Elephas maximus indicus: one gene and its partner. The protein of the gene in region 1 purifies or fractionates together with the protein of each later gene. This does not show direct contact. Links are inferred from orthologs where the notes say so. Each region holds a gene or a part of one and is shown in the gene's direction. Other genes may lie near its edges.

Region 1 (10,447 bases):
GCAGAGAGAAGCAGAAGCTGGTGGAGAAGATCATGGACCAGTACCGCGTGCTGGAGCCTGGGCCCCTGCCCCGGACTAAGTGAGCGGCCCTTCCCGCACTCTGGGCCAGGGTCCTCCCACCTCCCACTTGGCTTGGCCCTACCCTCTCGTCCCCAGCTCAGGGCAGGCCCCTGTGAGGGTTTGCCTGGCCTTGGCCATCCCCAACACAGTCCTCCCCTCCCACCTTCCTCTCTGTCCTTACCCCCTCTTGTGCCCTCTTGCCCCCAGGAAGGGCAGCTGGCTGGCAGACAAGGTGAAGAGGCTGATGCGGCCCCGGCGGGAGGGGGGCCCCCATGGGGGGCCACGCCTGGGGGCCGATAGGGCTGGCAGCACCGAGAGCCTGGGGGGCCCCCCGGAGACGGAGCTCCCCGAGGGCAGGGAGGCAGATGGGACAGGTGGGTTTGGGAGCTAAGTGACCAGGATGGTCCCTAGCCCATGTCCCCTGCCCCCACCCTGACCCCTGCCTGTGCATCTGGCCATTCCCTTTCTGTCTCGCCTTCCCTGTCACCTGCCCAGTTGCTTTCTGTGCCCTCTGCCTGGGCCTCTGCCGGGTCCCTCTTGGTCAGCACCTCCCTCCTGCCTGCAGTGCCCACCCACCCAGTCCTACCCTGTCCTCAGTAGTGCCTGGGACCTCAGAGCAGCAGGGAACATTAGTGAGAGATCATTTATCCCAGTCAGCAGATGAGGAAACTGAGGCCCAGAGAGGGGGAGCGCCTTGCCCAAGGTCACACAGTAAGTTAGCATCAGGGCCAGCACAGGACCCAGCCTTTTGAGGGTGATTGTACCATGCTCACTCGGGACCCTCGCCCTGCCTCTGTGGCCACGTCGCCCTGCCCCTACAGCCTCCCCTGCTGGCCCTCCTCTGAGGCCTGGCCCTGGCTGCAGTTCTCTGACCCCTCCCTTCGTTCACTCTTGCAGGGCTCCCCTCACCAGCACCCATGCGCCGGGCCCAGAGCTCCCTGTGCCTACGGGATGAGACCCTGGCAGGTGGGCAGCGGCGGAAACTCAGCTCACGGTTCCCTGTGGGGCGAAGCTCTGAGTCATTCAGCCCTGGGGACACCCCACGGCAACGATTCCGCCAGCGCCGCCCAGGCCCCCTGGGGGCACCCAACTCCTCTGGCAAAGGTGGGGACCCTGTTTCCATTAGCTCCCCACTCCCAGTGGACCAATCATCTCCTTGGGGGAGGGGGCTTCCCTCCTGTCCGGTGTCTTCCCACAAGCCCCACTCACCTTTGCCCCAGTGATCCCTGTGGCCCCACGGCTATATCGTGTCCCCCCCAGGATCTGGTGTGGGATGGGACGGCTCCGTCGAGACCCTGGCGGAACATGAAGCAGATGTCAGCCGAGAGGGTGAGGGGGGCCTGGGGAGGGGGTTGGAGTATTCACCCCAACCAGGGCTCCTGACAGACTTCCTCCATCCATTTGAGTCTTTACTAAGTGCCAGGTCCTGTACTAGCTAAGGATATAGCAGGGAACATTCTGCTAGGGGACACAGATGGTAATCAATAGGCCCTGTTGGATAGAAATACAACGTGTAATTTTTAGTTTCCTAGTAGCCACATCACAAAAGGCAAAAAGAGGCAGATGAAATTGATTTTAACGATACTTTCTTTAACTCAGTATGCCTAAGATATCGTTTCAACATGTAGTCAGTGTAAAATTTTTACACTGTGAGATATTTTACATAATTTTTTCATACTAAGTCTTGGAAGTCCAGTGGCTATTCTATGACGAGCAGCCATACGTGGCTCGGAGTGGCCGTACAGGACAGCCCAGCTCTAGAATACCATTATTGTTGTTAGGTGCCATAGAATCGATTTCTACCCATAGTGACCCCATGTGACAGAGTAGAACTGCCCCATAGGATTTTCTAGGCCGTAATCTTTACGGGGAAGGAGTCCTGGCGGCGCAGTGGTTAAGGGCATGGCTGCTAACTGAAAGGTCAGTGGTTCCAACCAACCAGCCGCTCTGCAGGAGAAAGATGTGGCAGTCTGCTCCCCTAAAGATTACAGCCTTTGAAACCCTATGGGGCAGTTCTACTCTGTCCTGCAGGGTTGCTATGATTTGGAATTGGCTTGACGGCAATGCCTTTGGTTTGGCTAATCCTTATGGGAGGAGATCACCAGGTCTTTTCTCTCGAGGAGCAGCTGGGTGCATTTAAACCACCAACCTTTCAGCAGCAGCTGAGTGCTTAACCGCTTAATCCTTGTGCCACCAGGGCTCCTTCCCGGAATATTAGGAGGTGATAATGTTTGGGGAAAAGTATAGAGTGAGGGGGTTAGGGTGCCGAGGAGGAGGCGAGTTGCCGTTTAATTAGGGTGCTTAGGTAGGCCTCAAAGGGGAGGTGGAGCTGGAACAAAAACTTGGAGGTGAGAATCTGCCAGGGCCAGCATTCCAGGTGTGAGGAACAGCCAAAGCGAAGGCCTGGCGTGTTCAGGACAGGCGAGGAGCATGGTGCGGCTGGAGTAGAGGAGGTTGGGGGGCTGAGGTGGGCCTCTTGAGGACTAGGGGTCGTCCTGGGTCAGGAGGCCTGAGCTGAGCCTCTCCTTCCAGGCCTCGAGGTGCAGGAACAGGAGAAACGTCTCCTCACCCCTTCCCTCAGCCAGTGACACCACATGGATGGGGCCCACGGGAGCACTCCCCTCTCGCCGTTGGAGCCTCGGTGGGGGCTCTCGCCAGCCCAAGAGCTCAGGGAGCCAGGGTGCCCAAGGGGAGTCCTTGGACAAAGAGGCCCTGAGATGGAGCTGGGACGAACTTGTGGACAGGGGGCATGGCCATCCCCCAAGGGCAGCTCCTTGCCAGGACACCGGCTCTGCCCTGCGGCCCCCACTGAGGAGGCAGTCTCTGGGGGATCACCCTTCAGAAGGAGGCTGGCGGGAGCAGGCAAGAGAGCCCCCCTGCCCGGTCCACGTGGGGAGCTAAGGACCACTCCCTGGGGTCTGTGACCTGGGCCAATCTCTGAGCCGGGGCGTGAGGAACGTCAGAATAAAGCGAGATGCAGTCACCTGAATTATGTTGTGTCTTCTGGTTGCATCCAGGGGCTACAAGACGTCAGGGACACATGCAGCTCCAAGTCCACCCCGCTGGTGGGGGCACGGGAGCAGCAGTCTGCGGCAGAGGGCGGGCCTCCCTGCCCCCAACAGGGTGGCAAAGGGCACTTGTTAGGTGAGGCCAGCCGGGCTTGCCAGAGCCTAGATGTCCCTGCGTGTGTGTGGGTGCATTCAGGGTAATAAAGGACAGTGCTCCAGCAGTGGGTGGGGCCTGAAGTCTCAGCTCCGCCTTTGCCTACAAGGCAGGGTCTGTAAGCCCCAGAGGCCCCACCTCCTCCTGGGCACCCTCTTCTCACCCTTCACTTCCCCCCACCTTCTCATCTCCTCTTTCCCATCCCTTTGGAATTGAGCCCCTGGTGCTTGGTGGGGCACCACCTAATGTCAAGAGCTGCCATAGAGGGATGCTGGAGGTGGGAGGGACCAAGGGCTTTGGAAGAGACTGGGAAGATGGGCAGTTAGGCTGGGTGGCCAGATGTGAGTCAGGGGACTTGGGCTGCCCAGGGCGGGATGGGCTACTCCTGAACCTGGGGGTGTGCAGAGCCGGGAGGGTGGCCATCCAGCCCCGCCAGGGTAACCTGCAGAGCCTGGCTCAAGGGGTTTCTGTACCCCTGCCCTGGGGTTAACCCCCAGCTCTGCCCTCCTCTCCAGTGGAGCTGGGGGGGGGGCAGTGGGTGGGGTGGTCCCCCTGACCTCCAGCTGGGCTGAGGAGCAGAAAGCCCACTTCCGTAGGCCTCGGAGCCGGGGTTGTGGTGGCCTCCCCACCCTGCTTTGTGGCCTCTGTCAGTTGCCAGAGAGGGCGAGGCCCGGGAATTGGCTGCCTCCAGGAGGCTGGAAGAGGAGGTGGCAGAGGCTCTGGGAGATAGGTCACTCAGGGGCTCTGGGTCTGATGGGGAGAGGGGACTGCCCCTGTGTGGCTCTGACATCCTTTTTGAGGTCTGCTCTGGGCTGGGCACCATGCCAAGCTCAGGGACAACAGGGGGATAGTACCATAGGAGGTATGTGCAGCACCAGGTGGGCTTCCGAGGGTGGCTGGGGACTGAGGCTCTTCTGCAGACCCAGAGAAAAGAGATCCAGTTGGTGTAAAAAAGAGATCCATGCGTCCTACTACAGCTGGGCTTGACTCCATCCCCCTGTGGAGCCCCCTGTAGGCACCAAGAGGTCCCAGTGGTGCTGCAGGAGCCAAGATAAGGCTTAGTTCTGAAGGCCCCTAAGCCCCCTCATACTTCCCCTGCAGAGTCAAGTCCACAAGAGAGGGAGTCTTGGCTGGCCATCTGGAGGTGTATGTAGGCGGGGAGCTGGAGGTGACAGAGCTGGGGCCAGGTTGGTTCCACTGCCTTGGACTGGGTGGCTTCCAGGACCCTGACATCCTCTTGCCTGCCCAGCACCCAGGGGACTGGCCACACTGAGTGAGGGTGCTGGGCCCAGGCTGTGTTGGATGACGGTGGCCCCGGCCGCCCATCAGTCAAAGGGGCACACAGAGCCCCAACCCTCTTTGCGGAGGTCAAAGTGATCACAAATGGAGTGAGTGGGCTGTGTTTTTTATGAAAGCCCTTGCACTGTCGCTGGTGGCTATGAAAATCAGGTGGAGGACTGGCGGCTGCACTGGGTCTGGACTCTAGGAGGGGTGGTCTCTATGCCTGTTTTGGTCCTCCCTCCACCTTGGGGCATAGGCTCCTGGTGTCTGGGACACTGGCTTCAGCAGGCATCCTGGCTTGGGAGTGTACGCTCAGGGACCCCAGGCATGTCTCCCAAGAGGGGGAGGTCCCAGATCCCCGGGGGGGGGGGTTGCATGTGGATCTCCTTAGCATACAGCCTTGATGCTTGCCCCCATGCGGGGAGACAGGGCGACCCCCACCGGCCGCCCACTGAGGCCCGGCGCTGTCACGTTCCAGCCGCCTGACTCAGGCCGCGCGGGGCGGAGAGCCGAGAGGCGGCGCCCGCCTCGGCCCGGAGGCGGCACCAGGAAGCGCCCGCCCCGGCCGGAGCCGCCATGTAACCGGCGCCGCCCGGAGCCCGAGCCGCGCGGGCCCAGGGACCCGCCCGCCATGGGGGACGAGGACGAGGATGAGAGCTGTGCGGTGGAGCTGCGGATCACGGAAGGTGGAGCAAGAGCGGCAGGGGGCGCGGGGTGGCTGTCGCGTAGGACTGGGAGGGTCACGGCCGGCTGAGCTGATTCGCTCCCTGTGTCCGCAGCCAACCTTACCGGGCATGAGGAGAAGGTGAGCGTGGAGAACTTCGAGCTGCTCAAGGTGCTGGGCACGGGAGGTGAGGACCCCGGGCCCCCAGGCAGGTGTCCCAGGTTCGGTGCCCTGGGTTTCCAGGGCCGCAAACCCGCCTGGGCCCGGGCCAGGCCACCGGGAAGGCCCCCCACCCTTTCCCGGCACAGCCGCCTAGCTCGCCCCGCCCTGCCCCGCCAGGGTTTGCATGCCCTCTCCCAGGGCCAGCTCAACGGTGACATCGTTCCTCCCTGCCAGGTCCTGTGCGTGCATGCCCCCTTCCCGGTTTGCCAGCACCCTGCAGGGCCTTGCATCCCTCCCAATTATTTGCACAGCTCCTCCCCTTCCCCTGCTCGAAGCGCCCTCCCCCGCTTTGCAAACTCCCTAGCCCTAGTTTGCACTGCCCACCCGCATCTCTGCATCCCTTCCTTGGATTTGAATCCTCTTGCATCCGCCTGTTCTTTCGCAGGTTTGCACATGCCCCGCCCCCACCTCGCGCTGCAGGCCCCCTGGGGATGCATGCTCCCCAGTCTGGGTTGCACATCCCCGCCCTGGTTTTGCGGAGCATCCTCCTGGGGTTTGCACACCTGTTCCTTGCACACCTCTTCCAGTTCTTTGCACACCTGCCTGGCGACCCGGCTTCTACCCTCGATTTGCACACCCTCCTGGGTTGGCATCACCCCCCGCCCCCGCCAGTCTGCACCACCCCCCTGCTCACGGACCACCCTCCACCCACTTGCTGCTCCCACAGCCTACGGGAAGGTGTTCCTGGTGCGGAAGGCGGGCGGGCACGACGCGGGGAAGCTGTATGCCATGAAGGTCCTGCGCAAGGCGGCGCTGGTGCAGCGCGCCAAGACGCAGGAGCACACGCGCACCGAGCGCTCGGTGCTGGAGCTGGTCCGCCAGGCACCCTTCCTGGTCACGCTGCACTACGCCTTCCAGACCGACGCCAAGCTGCACCTCATCCTGGGTAAGGGCAACTGCACTCTGACCTCGGCCGGGGTGGGTGCAGGCGTGGTGACCCGGACCCGGCGCTCTCTGACCCCCATCCCGTCCCCCAGACTACGTGAGCGGCGGGGAGATGTTCACCCACCTCTACCAGCGCCAGCACTTCAAGGAGGCCGAGGTGCGCGTGTACGGGGGCGAGATCGTGCTGGCCCTGGAACACTTGCACAAGGTGGGCGGGGCCCTGACCACGCGGCTGTTGCCATGGGGATGCGCCTGCGGCTTGTAAGGGGCTTCAGAACATGGCCGTGGTGGGTCTTTTCCCGGGCCTCCTGGGGCGCGGTGTCCTCAATGGGGACTGGAGCTGCTTCACAGGCCTGGAAGGAAGGGCTCAGTGCGGCCTGCGGGGGTGGGGGGAAGGGCCTCCTCCCCTGGCGCCTCGGCCAAGGGGCTTTCCTCTCACAGGGAGCTCGGGGCTGCCTCCTGAGACGCTCTCACAGAAAGAACTTCCTCAAAATCAGACCTCAAGCCTCGCTCCCTGCACCTCCTTGAAATGAGCTCTCCACCCGGCGTTTGAAATGAGCTTTTCACCCGGCTTTCCTTCTCCCGGGACCTTGGGGCTGCTCCAGTGGGGCCTCTTCCTGGGGTCTTCCTGCCTTGCCTTTGGTCCTTAGAATGGTTCAGCTCCAGCCCAGCCCCTGTCCCAGGAGTCCCTCTGCACGCAGGTGTCCTTGATCAGGGACCTCCTCTCGGAGGGTCTCCTTGTCTTGAGTGGAGACCTGGTTGTCAGCAGTTGTGGAGGGACATGGGTGGGGGACTTGTCCCTGGAGGCTTGGAGCTGGGGAAGGTTTCGGGGAGGAAGCTCAGTGCCCCTCTTGCCCTGCCAGCTGGGCATCATCTACCGGGACCTGAAGCTGGAGAACGTGCTGCTGGACTCCGAGGGCCACGTCGTCCTCACGGACTTTGGGCTGAGCAAGGAGTTCCTGACGGAGGAGGTGAGGGAGGGTCATCTCTCTGCCCACTGCATCCCCATTCAAGCTTCTCCTTCCTGTCTCTTCCTGTCCTGTGCCTGGCTCTGTGTTTCCAGAGGTGCAGAGGTGAATGGACCCAGGCCCTGCCTTCAAGAAACTCCCGCTGCCCCCACCCTCACAAGTCCATCAAGTCCTCACTCGGAGCTTTGGGGGCTGCTGGGGCCAAAGAGAGGCCTTTGGTACCTAAATGTGCCCTCTCGCCCTCCCAGAAAGAACGGACTTTCTCTTTCTGTGGCACTATTGAATACATGGCCCCTGAGATCATCCGCAGCAAGTCGGGGCATGGCAAGGTAGGTCGGTGGGGAAGCAGGGGCAGTGGGTGTGGGCCCGGGGCGGTGTAGGCCCTCATTCTGGCTCCACCCTGGTAGGCCGTGGACTGGTGGAGCCTGGGCATCCTGCTCTTCGAGCTGCTGACGGGGGCCTCGCCCTTCACGTTGGAGGGCGAGAGGAACACCCAGGCTGAGGTGTCCCGGTGAGGAGGGCCGGACGTGGAGGCGGCCAAGGGCCAGGGGCCTGCCTGGGCAGGGCTGTGGGGGGGCTCGCTGCCCCTGACGCCCCCCCCAATCCTCTCAGACGGATCCTGAAGTGCTCCCCTCCCTTCCCCCCCCGGATTGGGCCTGTGGCGCAGGACCTACTGCAGCGGCTGCTTTGCAAGGACCCCAAGAAGCGGCTGGGTGCAGGTCCCCAGGGGGCACAGGAAGTCAAGAACCACCCCTTCTTCCAGGTGAGGCTCTGGACTCTGGGCCCCACACCTCCGTGCTGGGCACACCTAGGCCAGGCTACTGCTCTGGGTTGGGGGATGCAGAGGGAGGGTCTGAGCCTGGTAGATTTCACTTTGTCCAGACCACCCTCCAGGGAAAGAAAGCAAATGTGTATAAGTTGAGGCTTATCCTCTCATCTACCCCCATTGAGGCTTTGGAGATGCGTTCCAGAAGGAAAGAATTCTAGGTTCATCATGTCTGGGCTGGCAGGGACTTGAGAATGGGTCAACCAGTCCTTTCAATTGACAGGCCCAGAGAAGGGACGTGACTGCCCAAGATGGCACAGAAAATGGTGTAGAGCTGGGGACAGAACCCAGGTCTCCTCTGGGCCCAAATTAATAATGAAAATCACAGGTATGGCTCTTTAGCGTCCCCGCGGCCGTTTTGTTTTGTCCTTGTGCAGTTTGGGTCTGCATACAGGGTCGCTATGAGTCCTAACTGACTTGACGGCAATGGAGGGAGTTTTGTGCAGCCTGAGTGCCTGCCATTTGGATGGATGGTTGAGGAGCCCACGTGGGGCTTGGCTGACTGGTTAAGAGCATGTGCATTCCACCTCCCTGTGAGACCAGGTGCTTGGCCATCACCAGCACCCAGCAGGACCTTACGGCAGTGAGCATTCACTGTGTCAGCCATCGGCCTGCGTTACTTCACGTAACCCTCTGAACCATCCTGATGATCCCCACTGTTATAGGCGAGGACCCTGAGGTTCAGAGAGGTTAAGACATTTGCCCAAGTTCATCTAGCCAGGAAGCAATAAAAGCTCAAATTCAAACCCAGGTCTAGGGGCTTGAAGGCCTGTGCTCTTAAATGCTGTGTTCTTCTGTTTGCCTGTGGGCAACAGATATGCCACTTGTCTGATACGATAACAAAAGCACCCTTTTATGGCTGCTGGGGTGGCGTAAATAGTTCGCACTTGACTACTAACCTAAAGGTTGGCAGTTTGAACCCACTCTGGTGCTACAGAAGAAAGACCTGGCAATCTGTTTCCAGAAAGATTACAGCCAAGAAAACCCTATGGAGCTGTTCTATTCTATAACAAAGGGAGTCTGCATGAGTCGGAATCGACTCGATGGCAACGGGTTTGGAGTGGTTTTTATTATGTGCCGGGCATTCTGTTACCCGTATTACAAGCACCATCTCCTTGAGTCTCCCCAGTAAGTATCACCCGGAAGGGCCCTTGCGGATGCTTTCTCAGACAGAAGCCTAAGTCTCTTTGGTGAAGATGTCTCTTTGCTGGGGGAGAAGGGGAAGCAGTTGAGAAGTGTCATTTTCCTTCAGTGAGTTCCTTAAACCCATTCTGAGTGCATGCCAGGTGCTGTGCTGGGTGCTGGGAGCAGGTGGATCTGTCCACAGGAGAGACCCCAAGGCCTTTGAGGCCTGATTCTTGGTAGGGTTGTTCCCCTCATTCCACCTTCTTTCTGGGCAGCCTCTTTGGTGATAGCAATGCCGGGATCCCTGGTGGCAGAATTGGGTCCTTTAAGCCTGACTCAGGCCTCTTGGCTTTAAGTGACAAAAAGTCTAATTCAAAATGGTAGTATCTGTTGGAATAGAGTTCGGCTGCTAGTAACAGAGATTGGAACGAAGAGTGGCCTAAAGAAAAAAGAAGTTATTATTTTTTCTCACATGAAGTATAGAGGTTGGCAGACCAGGGCTGCTGTGGGGTCTTCATGGTGTCTTCAGGAACCTACGCTCCTTTTGTCTTATGCTTCTCCATTCTTAGCGTGTAGGCTTCACCCCAGGGTTGCCTCACGGCCCAAGATGGCTGCTGGAGATCTTGCCATCTAGGCTGCTTCCCAGGCAGGAAGCAGAGGGAAGAAGGATGGAAAGGGCAAAAAGAGCACTTGCAAAGATCCTTCTTGAGGATCTTTCCCTGGAGTTCTACCTCACAATTTTTGCTTACAAGTTATTCGTCATCCCTTGCTGCAAGGCAGTTCATAAAATATCTTTTAGTTATGTATATTGCTGTCTGGAATAAAATTGGGGTTCTGGTTCTAAGGAAGACAGGGAGAATGGTTATTGGGCTGGCAATTAACAGGCTCAGCCACACTTACTTAAATATAAAAGGGCATGTTTTGGCTCTTGTAAGTGAAAAGTCCAAGGGACAGGTTCTGGGTTCAGGCAAGGCTGCATCCAGGTGCTCAAACTGTGTCATCAGGAGTGCCTTTCTTTGTCTCTTGGTTCTGCTTTTCTTCATGGGGCTTCATCAGTAGATGTTGAGGGTACCCCAGCAGTTCCAGGCTCACATCCTCTCAAATTTAAGAGAGATTTGTTTTTCAGACCAATTCTATAAAAAGTCTCAGAATTGACAGAGCATAGTGGAGAGGTGGTTTGTAAAGGAAACAGAGATTCTGTTACCAGAGAGAGGGAAATGGAAACTGGGGAGGCAGGAAGAGCAGCTGCTCACC
Region 2 (10,447 bases), on another chromosome or scaffold:
GAGCATCAGAACTGGAGGAAGACACATTAACCTGCGTTATGCAGAAGACACAACCTTGCTTGCTGAAGGTAAAGAGGTCTTGAAGCACTTACTGATGAAGATCAAAGACCACAGCCTTCAGTATGGATTACTCTTCAACATAAAACAAAAATTCTCACAACTGGACCAATAAGCAACATTATGATAAACGGAGAAAAGATTGAAGTTGTCAAGGATTTCATTTTACTTGGATCCACAATCAACAGCCATGGAAGCAGCAGTCAAGAAATCAAGAGACACATTGCATTGGGCAAATCTGCTGTAAAAGACCTCCTTAAAGTGCTGAAAAGCAAAGATGTCACCTTGAAGACTAAGGTGCACCTGACCCAAACCATGGTATTTTAAATCGTATTTTATGTATGTGAAAGCTGGACAATGAATAATGAAGACCAAAGAAGAATTGACACCTTTGAATTATGCTCTTGGTGAAGAACGTTGAATATACCATTGACTACCAAAAGAAAGAACAAATCTGTCTTGGAAAAAGTACAACCAGAATGCTCCTTAGAAGCTAGGATGGTGAAACTGCATCTTACATACTTTGGACATGTTGTCAGGAAGGATCAGTCCCTGAAGAAGGGCATCGTGCTTGGTAGAGTACAGGGTCAGCGAAAAAGAGGAAGACCCTCCAGGAGATGGAGTGACACAGTTGCTGCAACAATGGGCTTAAGCATAACAATTGTGAGCATGGTGAAGGACCAGGTAGTGTTTCGTTCTGTAGTACACAGGATCACTATGAGTTGGAACCGACTTGACGGCACCTAAGAACAACAACAGGCCTCCAAAAGAACCAGATTGGTAGGGAGATGACTCTATCATGCCATCTGGAGGTAGCTGCTCCTGTGGCTCCAATTGGCCATGCTAATGTGGCCCCCAGACTTCAGTTTGGCTTCCCCCACAACAGCTTCCAGAAAAATGAACAGATTAGGAAAGAGAATGAAGATTGATTTATTTCTCAACTCTCAGCCCTTCTCTCCCAAAAGGCAGGGAGGGCCCAGTGACCAAAACCTGAGGGTCTGGGACCTGGGCAGACCTCTGGGAGTACAGGCTAAAGTACCCAAGTCATGGGCCAAAGTTCAGACTCTGGCAGCAGACCAGGGTCAAACCTCACCAAGGTCAGAATTCAAGGTTCATGTACATCCTGAGATCCCGCTCCCAAGCCCTGCTCTTCTCCTCTCGCCTTCTCTCCTCTTTCCGGCTCAGTGTGGTCACCCGAGGCGCTCGCTCCCGCCCAGCCACAGCCCGGGTATCCAAAGCCTGGAAGTGTGTGACCCGGGGCTGGGGTGCTGATCTGTAGCCAAGACCCTCCTGGTCCCTCTTAAGGACAGTGGGGATAGGGTTGGTGCGACCCTCACCTCGGGGTCCAAGCCCCATCCCTGGCTCCCAGCCTCCCCTCAGCAGCAACCTGAAGCCTGGGCTGGAGGCAGGCACCCCAGGGGGAAGACTAGGGGGGCAGGGACCCTGGGACAGTGACAGCAGGTGGGCGGTGGATGTGCAGTGGTTGGCATCTTGGAAGTAGGCGTCACAGGTCTCGCAATAGTGGGAGGCGCGAGATTGGGGCCTGCAGAGGAAGAAGAGAAGGAGTTGAGGGAGGGGGTTATGGGTCAGGAGAAGGGTACAGAAGCTTCAGGGGTGCTGGCAGGGTGGGACAAGGTCTTTTCAGCCCTTCTGCTAAGGAACAAATTGCTTTCCTCCCCACTTAGCAATGAGAAACCCAGAGGGGAATGGCTGGGAGAAGAAATGGTAACTAGGCCTCACAAGACTTTTGGAGGAAGGAATAATAATGATTACAATTAATATTTATATAGTACTTACCATGTAGCAAAGGAGCCCCTGGGTGAGGCTAATGGCTACGCACTCCACTACTAACCAAAAGGATGGCAGTTGAAATCCACCCAGGAAGACAGGCCTGGCAATCTACTTCCAAAAGGTCAAAGTCTTGAAAACCTTATGAAGCATTCTACTCTGTACACATGGGGTCACCGTGAATTAGAATTGACTCAATGGCAACTAACAACTACATGGCAAGCACTGCTCTAGTAGTTTGCACGTATTAGCCCATTTAATCTTAACCCTACGAGAAAGGTACTATTATTACCCACCATCTCTCAGATAAGGAAACTGAGACACATAGCATTTAGGTTGTTTGCCCAAGTAAGTGGAGTTAGGATTCAAACCAATGGAGCTCATGTCTGTAACCATGCTACTACATTGCCTTATCAACCTACATGGGGCAGGGGGACCCTCAGCTCTGTTCTGGGGCCTCTGGTGCAGAGTGAGTAAGAAGAGCAGAACACTTTGAAATATGTGCATGGGCTAAGACTTTCTCACCGGTTCTCAGGGCTCCTCGTCTCTCCATGGCTCTCCCTGACCATGCGGGCCACCTCGGGGAAGCCGGCTTCTTCCGCCAGCTGGGCAGCATCCCGGCCACCCAGCTCACAAACTCCCACCCAGGCAGCCCCTCGGCCCAGGAGATAGCTCACAGCTGCCCCCTGGCCAGCTCGGGCAGCACACATCAGGGGAGTCCACCAGAAGGCATCACGGGTATTGATATTCCCCCCAGCTCCTCCTGTCTCACTGGGTTCCAGCAGCCTTCGAAGTTCTGCCAGGTCCCCCTCCTGAGCTGCCCTCAGTATCCACTGGGTTAGCTTGTCCTCTGCCTCAAGGGATCCCTCTTGTCCATGTACCCCTGATGCTGCCTCTGCCACTGCCATTGCTTCTGCCGCAGCCTCCCTCATCAGTCTTCTTTTCTTCCTCTTTTTCTCCCTGGCAGGCTCAGGGTGCGATCTTTGGGGTTCAGGAAAGCTGCTCTCGCTCTCTATCAGTGACTCGTAGAAAGCACGGACTGCAGACCCATCCAAGGCGGGTTCTGGCTCCTCAGGCTGTGGCTGCTGCTGCTGCCCATCTTTCCAGAGGTCACTAGAATCGCTGGCTGGGGTGAAGGTGATGAGGGACGGCCTGGACATGGCTTTTGTGAGAGCTGAGAAAATGAGGCTGGGCAAGGGAAGGCTGAGAAAAGCAAGCCAACTGCCCAAAAGCCCCTGTAGTGCCGAGATCCACCTCCAGGAAGCTGCCGAAAGGAAGAAAAGTAGCCTTAGAATCCAAGATCCCCTCCTGCCCCAAAAGTGACCCCACAATCTAAGGCCCGGCAGGGCCTAAGCGCCTAAGGACCGACTCATAGCGACCCTACAGGAGGACAGAGTAGAACTGCCCCACAGGGTTTCCACGCAGCGGCTGGTGAATGCCAATCGCCGACATTTTGGTTAGCAGCCAAGCTCGTAACCACTGCGCCACCAGGGCTCCAAGGGTTATAGGTCACATGTAAAAACAGGAAACCCTACAATAACCTGCTCCTTGCTAAATGTCAACAAAGAAAATTCCATGAGAGAGTTGCTCAGAGGGCCTATGTCCCGCCCTGCCACCCCGCTCTCATATAAAAGTAATGAGAGCCTCTCTCTGAACCGACTTTTCCACACCAAATGACATACGTTTAAGATAAAAAAAAACCGGCCTGGCCCTTTAAATCTTCCTGCTCCTATTTCGGGGTTCCGTCTTTCAAACAAAAACAGTCTCGGCACTTCTCCGGAAGCAGATTTCGGCAAGAGGCTCCGCCTGCATTGCTTTGTGGCTTCCGTACGGCAGAATGGCGCTACTCTAATCAAAAGATACGCTACAATCAAATAGCCACAAGACAAGACAACGCATGCGTGGCAGGAAAAAAAAAAAAAAAAGCCATGATTACATCAGAGCGCAGGCGTGAAGCGCCGGGTTCAGTTTCCCGCCCTGGAGTCTTTCCAATAGTCAATCTGCAAAGGGTCGCGTGCCTCGGCGGCGCGAGGACCTAAGAAGATCTGTCGGTTGGGGTCCTGCTTTTACATAACGCCCCACAATGCCCTCCACCTCCCTCGAGGTGACCCTCCGCTCCGAGCTCATTTTCTGGAGCCGGGAAACCATTCCCTGACTTAGGAAAGGCACTGAGGAGGGAAATCTGCAATGCCAAGAAGCTGTGACATGAAATAACGTCACCCTGCCCCTCACCATTACTCTGACCAAGGTTCGAAGGTTACACTTTGAGCCCGCAGTCGAAGGTCCTATTCAAGGCCTAAGAGGATATGGAAAAGTGCAAGGGGACAAGCGCCAGGATGGCTGGTGCCACCTCAGGTTAGCGCACTGGGCCGTCCCGGTTCTCACATCGCTCAGCCCAGCCCAGCCCAGCCCAGTCCAGCCCACCTAGGTCTCTCAGCACGGAGCATTTTCTTTCTCAGGAGGCCGGGGCTCTGGGTGAAACGTGGGCCCTATGGAGAAGGGGAAGCCCCAGGAATAGGCCTGACTGGGGCAAGGGACCTAACAGGCAAGAAAGACGCGACGGCCTGGACGAGACTAGGAATAAACAGGACTAGACTCCAGGGCGGAGGCGCTTAGCCAGGACTTGAGTATCAAGCAGTGAGGAGAGAGGCAGGGAGAGACTTCAGCCTGGCGCGCTGATTTCCCCGCCCCCACTCGGCCCCTCAGTCCTAGGAGCAAAACTCTGTATTTCCCAGGCTCTGGCCCCGAATGCGGCATTTGTTTTCCGCTTCCGGTGGCGCCTCGCTGCGCCCCGCCCTCGAGCGTCTTCCTCGCGGGCCCAGCGAACCAGAGTCGTGTGCGGGTCATCCTGGGATTCGTAGTTAGCTTTTCCCTCGTTTCGCCAGTTTGTCCCTACCGGGGACTCTATTTCCCGGCGTCCACCGCGGTGCCGGACCTTTGGCGCTTGCGCGTTGCTCTTTTCCCCACCCTCCCCAATTTCCACTCCCCCCACCGCGCGTCGCCTGCCGCGGTCGGGTCCACGGCCTTCGTTGTAGCTGTCGCTTGGAAGCAGCAACTCCCCTCCCCGCCCCACTCCCGGCCCCTGTCCAGCAGGTTAGTCTGAGGTCCTCGCCGCGCCGAGCCTTCTTCTTCGTTGGCGCTGCACATGGGGTCTCTGCGCCTCGATGTGGGGGCGGGGAAGGAAGTGACCCGGTCCGGCATTGAGGGAGGGAGGGAGGGAGGGGTGTCCTGGGGGGCGGCTGCGGTATGTGCGGGCTCCTGTGGAAGGGATCTGACAGTCACCCGCAGGCCGTCAGAAAAGGAGGGGCCGGGCTCTTTCCCGGGAAGGATAAACTTCGGGACCTTTGGGAAAGGCTCCGGAAACTTGCAGAGCCCTACTGTGGTAGGGAGCCGGAGTCGAGGACCCTGCTGGAGTTGACACGGAAGGGAGAGGGGCCCGGCTTGCGGGAGAGCCAGGGATGCGGGTAGGACTGGTGGGTCACATCTCTTGGTTTCTTGCAAGTGGACTGCACAGGATTTCTAACTGCAGAGAAAAGGGGCTGAGGTGTAAATAAAAGGAGTTGGAGAGGGGTGCTCCGGAGTCTGGGAGTCTTTAAGAAACCCCGTTAAAAAACCCCGTTGACATCGAGTCAGTTCTGACTACTGAAGACTTTATAGGACAGAGGAGAACTGTTCCATAGGGCTTCCAAGGAACAGCTGGTGGATTCAAACTGCCACCTTTTGGTTAGCAGTAGCAGCTCTCCATAGTTCTTAACCACTCCAGCACCAGGGCTCTCCTTTAAGAAAGGCTGACCCCAAGGTTCTTCTGTGGTTGGAAGGTGAAGTGTGGGAGGAGGGAGGATACTAGAGACAGAGGGAGGGAGGGAAAGCTCTGGGTCACCGGCTTTACTTACACCCTTATTTTTCAAGCTGACGTAAAGATGAGCAGTTCAGAGGAGGTGTCCTGGATTTCCTGGTTCTGTGGGCTCCGTGGCAATGAGTTCTTCTGTGAAGTGAGTTCTCCTCAGTCTCCCTGCTTGCCAGCGCAGCTCCACACAGACTCTGACCCCAGGCGTTCCCACACATATTCAGCCTTCTTATAATTTTTTCCGATGCTTCCATGGAAACTCCCTCTTGTCAAGGAAGTGTCCCCTCAGTACCTCCCATTAACCTGTAGTGAAGCGGCAAGACTGGTGCTCAAGTCCCAAGCCTTCCATCTTCCGACAGGAAGATGTCGAGAAGGTCAATCCATGTCTTTGTTATCACTAGAATAGTACTGATAGTACCTGTCTCAGGTGGCTGTTACGAGAATTGAAATACTACCTGTTAAAATGTTTGGTAATGTGTAAAGTTCTCTGTTAACGTAAGGGATTGTAACCTTCAGAATCTGAGCTGTCAGTCTCCACCTTCCTCAGAGAGCCAGCTATCCTTAAAGAGAGAACAAAACTGGTTCCTAGAGATGGGGTGCAGGAGTACGGATAGGGAACTTGAAAAGAATGTCTATCTGAGGAGACATCCTTAGAAAAGAAAGGCCAGGGCTTTTAGGAGAGGGAGTGTGTGAGTACCTCTTTTGAGTTTGGGGTGGGGGATGACGGGAACAGAAGCAGTTGTGTTGAGAACAAGGCATCAGTTAGAGCAACATGTCTGTGCCAAAGCCTGGAGTTTCTTTGTGGTTTCCTTCTTCACTTCCACATCCTGACAGGTGGATGAAGACTACATCCAAGACAAGTTCAACCTCACAGGGCTCAATGAGCAGGTACCCCACTATCGACAAGCCCTTGACATGATCTTGGACCTGGAGCCTGGTGAGGCACTTTCAGGGTTGTTGTTTTGTTTTGATTTTTCCTCCTCTCAAAATCCCAATTCCCCTGTTTCTTGAATTTCTAAATTTTCTTTTGGCTCTTTGTCTCCTTTATCCCAAAATCTCTTCCTTCACTTTGATTCTCCACCTGGCTCTTGCCTGGTTTAGTGACATCTGCCATCTGTTCCTGTGCTCACTGATTCTGTAATTCGGCTTTATTCCATAATGCCACTTTCCCCAAGTGTCTTGTTTTCTGCCTGTTTCTTCTGCCCTGCACCTTCCAGTCTAGAGTTCCACCTTCTGCGTTGACATCTTTGCATTTATGTATTGAGAAGCGAGGTAGGGGTAGAGAAGAGAACGGAGGCTGAAGAGGTGTGGAGGGAAGGCAGAGCTGCCCTGGGTTGGTGGAAGGGGTCAGAAACCTAGGTTTACGGGTTGAATGTCCAGGTGATGGGTGGGGTGAGACTCAGAGATAGGTGGTGGGCAAATTGAGTAGCCAGCAGCCACTGGGAGTGAGTGGAGCACCCTCAGGAAGGCTGAATGGCAAGTGGTTGCATTTGGGCCGGGCCATGTTTCAGATGAAGAGTTGGAAGACAACCCCAACCAGAGTGACCTGATTGAGCAGGCAGCTGAGATGCTGTATGGATTGATCCACGCCCGCTACATCCTCACCAACCGTGGCATCGCCCAGATGGTGAGGACTCTACTCCCACTTGACTCCTTTTGAGGCAATAAGGGAAACAGGTTCCAGCAGCAAGAAGTCATACATTTCAACTTTGCCAGGGAGTCTAGCTGAGAAGAGGGGAAGAAGCCCAGAATCTGGGCCTGGGAGTTGAGTCCTGATTTCGGGGCATGTTGTGGGAGGCTGTTTTCAGGAGGGAGACATGACCCTGAATGGGAAGTTCTTGCAGACTATCTCTTTCTTGGGGAACAAACAGTGAATGACTCTGGTTTGCAGCCTGCCTGACTGGAGGAAAGGAGGCAGCAGAGTCTGAGGGTCTGTCTGGGCTAGGGAAGGGGCCTCTGGACAGAGGTGGAAGGATTAGGGGCACAGTGATATAGGTTGGGCTGAGGGGGGAGTTAGCACTATGTGGGTTGCATCATTTCACACCTGTCTACCAGTCTTCGCCATTTTATTTACCTCAGTTGGAAAAATACCAGCAAGGAGACTTTGGCTACTGTCCCCGTGTGTACTGTGAGAACCAGCCAATGCTCCCCATTGGTGAGTATTGGATAGTGGTAGATGACATATGGCAGGTGCCCTGGGAATGTGTTGGGACTTAGCAAGTCGGGGCCCAAGTCCTGGGTGAAAGTTGTGCAGGTTAGAAGGTGCCCAGTCGGCTGAGTCTGGCTGTCTCGCAGGCCTGTCGGATATCCCAGGCGAGGCCATGGTGAAGCTCTACTGCCCCAAGTGCATGGATGTGTACACACCCAAGTCATCGAGGCATCACCACACGGATGGCGCCTACTTCGGCACCGGCTTCCCTCACATGCTCTTCATGGTGCACCCCGAGTACCGGCCCAAGCGGCCCGCCAACCAGTTTGTGCCCAGGTGGGGAGCAAGGACAGAGCTACCAAGGATCAAAGAAAAGACCCAAGGTCCCCTGGAGATAAGGGAAGGCAGGGCATCCCCTTTTTTGAGGTCTGGTTCCCCCAGGCCAGGGCTTCTTTTTGCTGAGTACCCTTGGGCAAATTATTTAATTGCCTTATGCTTGTTTTATTTTTTATGAAATGGGGATGATGGCAGTGTTATCCTGATAGGGTGACTTTGAACAGGTAAATTGCTTAGAACAGTGTTTGGAGCTTAAAATATTTAAACTTTAGTTATTGCCATCACCGGAGTGTCTGGGTGGCGTGAGTGCTTAAGCACTTACCTAACCAAAAGGTTGGCAGTTCAAACCAACACAGAGATGCCTCAGAAGAAAGACCTAGCAATCTATTTCCAAAAGGCCACTGCCATTGAAAACCCTGTGGAGCAGTTCTGCTCTGCACACCTTGAGTCACCATGGAATCAACTCAATGGCACCTAATTTGATTTTTGGTTATTATTACCACTGTCTTGGGTGTTCAGCCTTTTACCAGATTAATAAATATGATTCATCTTTTTGGGGCATCAATTTAAGTCTGTCTATGAAAAAGAGAAGTTCAGTTTTACCTTGAAACAAGAACTGATATAGAATTTGAGTTTTAATTGATGTTTAACATACATTTCCAAGTATTCTTGAGTAAAGAGTTTTGGGAACTACTGCCCTTAAGCTTTGAGGAAGCCCACGGAGGCAGAGGGGTGGGGAGGCAGGAATGTAACCCACTCATCCCACTACCTCTCTGATCTCTCCCCGGCCCAGGCTCTATGGTTTCAAGATCCACCCGATGGCCTACCAGCTGCAGCTCCAAGCTGCCAGCAACTTCAAGAGCCCGGTCAAGACGATTCGCTGATTCCTTAGCCTACCTGTTCCTCAGTCTTTTACACCCCTGTTCCTTTGCTGCCACCCTTTCAGGAATCCTCTGTGGTTTTTAGTTTAAATTAAAGGAGTCATTATTGTGGTGGGGATATCAAATAAAGTGGAAGAAAAGGCCATGAGCCGGTCTGCTGATGCTTGGGGTTGGGGATGGGAGGGTAGCTCTGGGAGCCCTCGGGGCCCACCCTCCCCAAGTTGGAAATCAGATTTGTGCCCTGTGGATTTGGCTGATGTTTTTAGTGGAGAACAGAACATAACTCCTAGGGCTGGGTGTAAAGTGCAAGTTCACAAGGAAAAGACCCAGAGAAAAATCAGGTTTCAAAGATTAGAAAAATATTTGTTTTTTGGGGGGCTATCTGTGATTGTCTATTCATACTGAAAGGGATGTCATCAACAGCATTGTCTTTCAGTTTTGGTTTTAAAGGAAAGTCCTAAAATCAAGAGAACTGTAAGAGTTGGAGAGAGGAGGAATAAAGTCCAGAATTGCTGCTCGGTGTGAGTGTGTGTGTGTGTGTGTGAGAGAGAGAGAGTGTGAGCGTGTCTCAGAAAGATGGAGATGCGGGGTTGCTGGTCAAAGGTTGTTCCGGCAGCTTTGGTCTGGCCCTTTGTGTGGGGTAGAGAGCAGGTTGTCCCAGAGATGGACATCCTAGTTCATGGACCCTCGAGGTGAGGGATAGGGCTTTGGGGGCCACGCAGAACAAAAATAGTTGAGTAAAGAGCCCAGGTAGGGCCCAAGTATTACCTCTGTCTGGGCCACTACTCCCACACTCAGGAACCAGACCTCGTGGGTGAGGACATGTTGTCCCTCCTGCCAGGTTGATAACTTCCCCTTGCAGCCCAGGATCCTGCCCTGGGCAGGAATATAGCTCTGCGCTTATAGCCCTTCCTGGTCAGATTGCCTATCAGAACTACCTCCAGCTCAGAATCAAGGCGTGTGGTCATAGGAAAGTGGGGATTCAGGGTACCCCTCAGGGATTGCCCCTCTCCAGAATTCCATAATGAGGGTCCACATGCTTACAGGCATGCTGGTCATGGTGGGCTTCTCAGCAGAAAAGGGTAAGTGGGGCCCAGGGGCAGGGAGGAAGGGGTGACCATGAGTTCAGGAACAGGGTGGGGCTGGATGCCTGGGTTCCCTGCAGGGCCGGGGAACTGGGGAGCGAGCCAAGATTCCCACCCCTCCTATCTTCTGCTTCCCCAGCTTCTGTTCCTGTTCCTGAAGTTCGAACCTGCCACTTCTGCCTCCTAGAAGACCCTGCTGTAGGTTGCATTTCGGGCTCAGAGAAGTGCACGATCAACAGCTTGTCCCCATGCATGGTGATCACCATCTATTATGGTGAGTCAAGTTCCAGGAATGGGAAGTGGG

Evidence for each region. Proteins that work in one complex are often made in the same cells at the same time.
Region 2: the proteins of RPS6KA4 (region 1) and CSNK2B purify together in Homo sapiens (affinity purification with mass spectrometry; 3 studies listed by BioGRID and IntAct, with this or other methods). This does not show direct contact. The link is inferred for Elephas maximus indicus from reciprocal best matches to the Homo sapiens genes RPS6KA4 and CSNK2B.

The regions. Positions count from the first base shown.
Region 1 is NC_064825.1:127,525,481-127,535,927, forward strand, and holds the start of RPS6KA4 (ribosomal protein S6 kinase alpha-4), read left to right. Parts: upstream 1-4,996; 5' UTR 4,997-5,134; coding exon 5,135-5,189; intron 5,190-5,282; coding exon 5,283-5,354; intron 5,355-6,056; coding exon 6,057-6,275; intron 6,276-6,366; coding exon 6,367-6,482; intron 6,483-7,137; coding exon 7,138-7,245; intron 7,246-7,490; coding exon 7,491-7,571; intron 7,572-7,649; coding exon 7,650-7,753; intron 7,754-7,854; coding exon 7,855-8,005; intron 8,006-10,447. Other genes in the region: CCDC88B (coiled-coil domain-containing protein 88B), read left to right, coding at 1-79, 268-434, 958-1,164, 1,321-1,389, 2,593-2,648. UniProt on the Homo sapiens protein: Serine/threonine-protein kinase that is required for the mitogen or stress-induced phosphorylation of the transcription factors CREB1 and ATF1 and for the regulation of the transcription factor RELA, and that contributes to gene activation by histone phosphorylation and functions in the regulation of inflammatory genes.
Region 2 is NC_064819.1:93,193,933-93,204,379, forward strand, and holds CSNK2B (casein kinase II subunit beta), read left to right. Parts: upstream 1-4,819; 5' UTR 4,820-4,938; intron 4,939-5,117; exon of another isoform or gene 5,118-5,309; intron 5,310-5,754; 5' UTR 5,755-5,765; coding exon 5,766-5,837; intron 5,838-6,526; coding exon 6,527-6,629; intron 6,630-7,203; coding exon 7,204-7,319; intron 7,320-7,747; coding exon 7,748-7,847; intron 7,848-7,987; coding exon 7,988-8,177; intron 8,178-8,970; coding exon 8,971-9,061; 3' UTR 9,062-9,206; downstream 9,207-10,447. Other genes in the region: GPANK1 (G patch domain and ankyrin repeat-containing protein 1), read right to left, coding at 1,156-1,600, 2,371-3,005. UniProt on the Homo sapiens protein: Regulatory subunit of casein kinase II/CK2.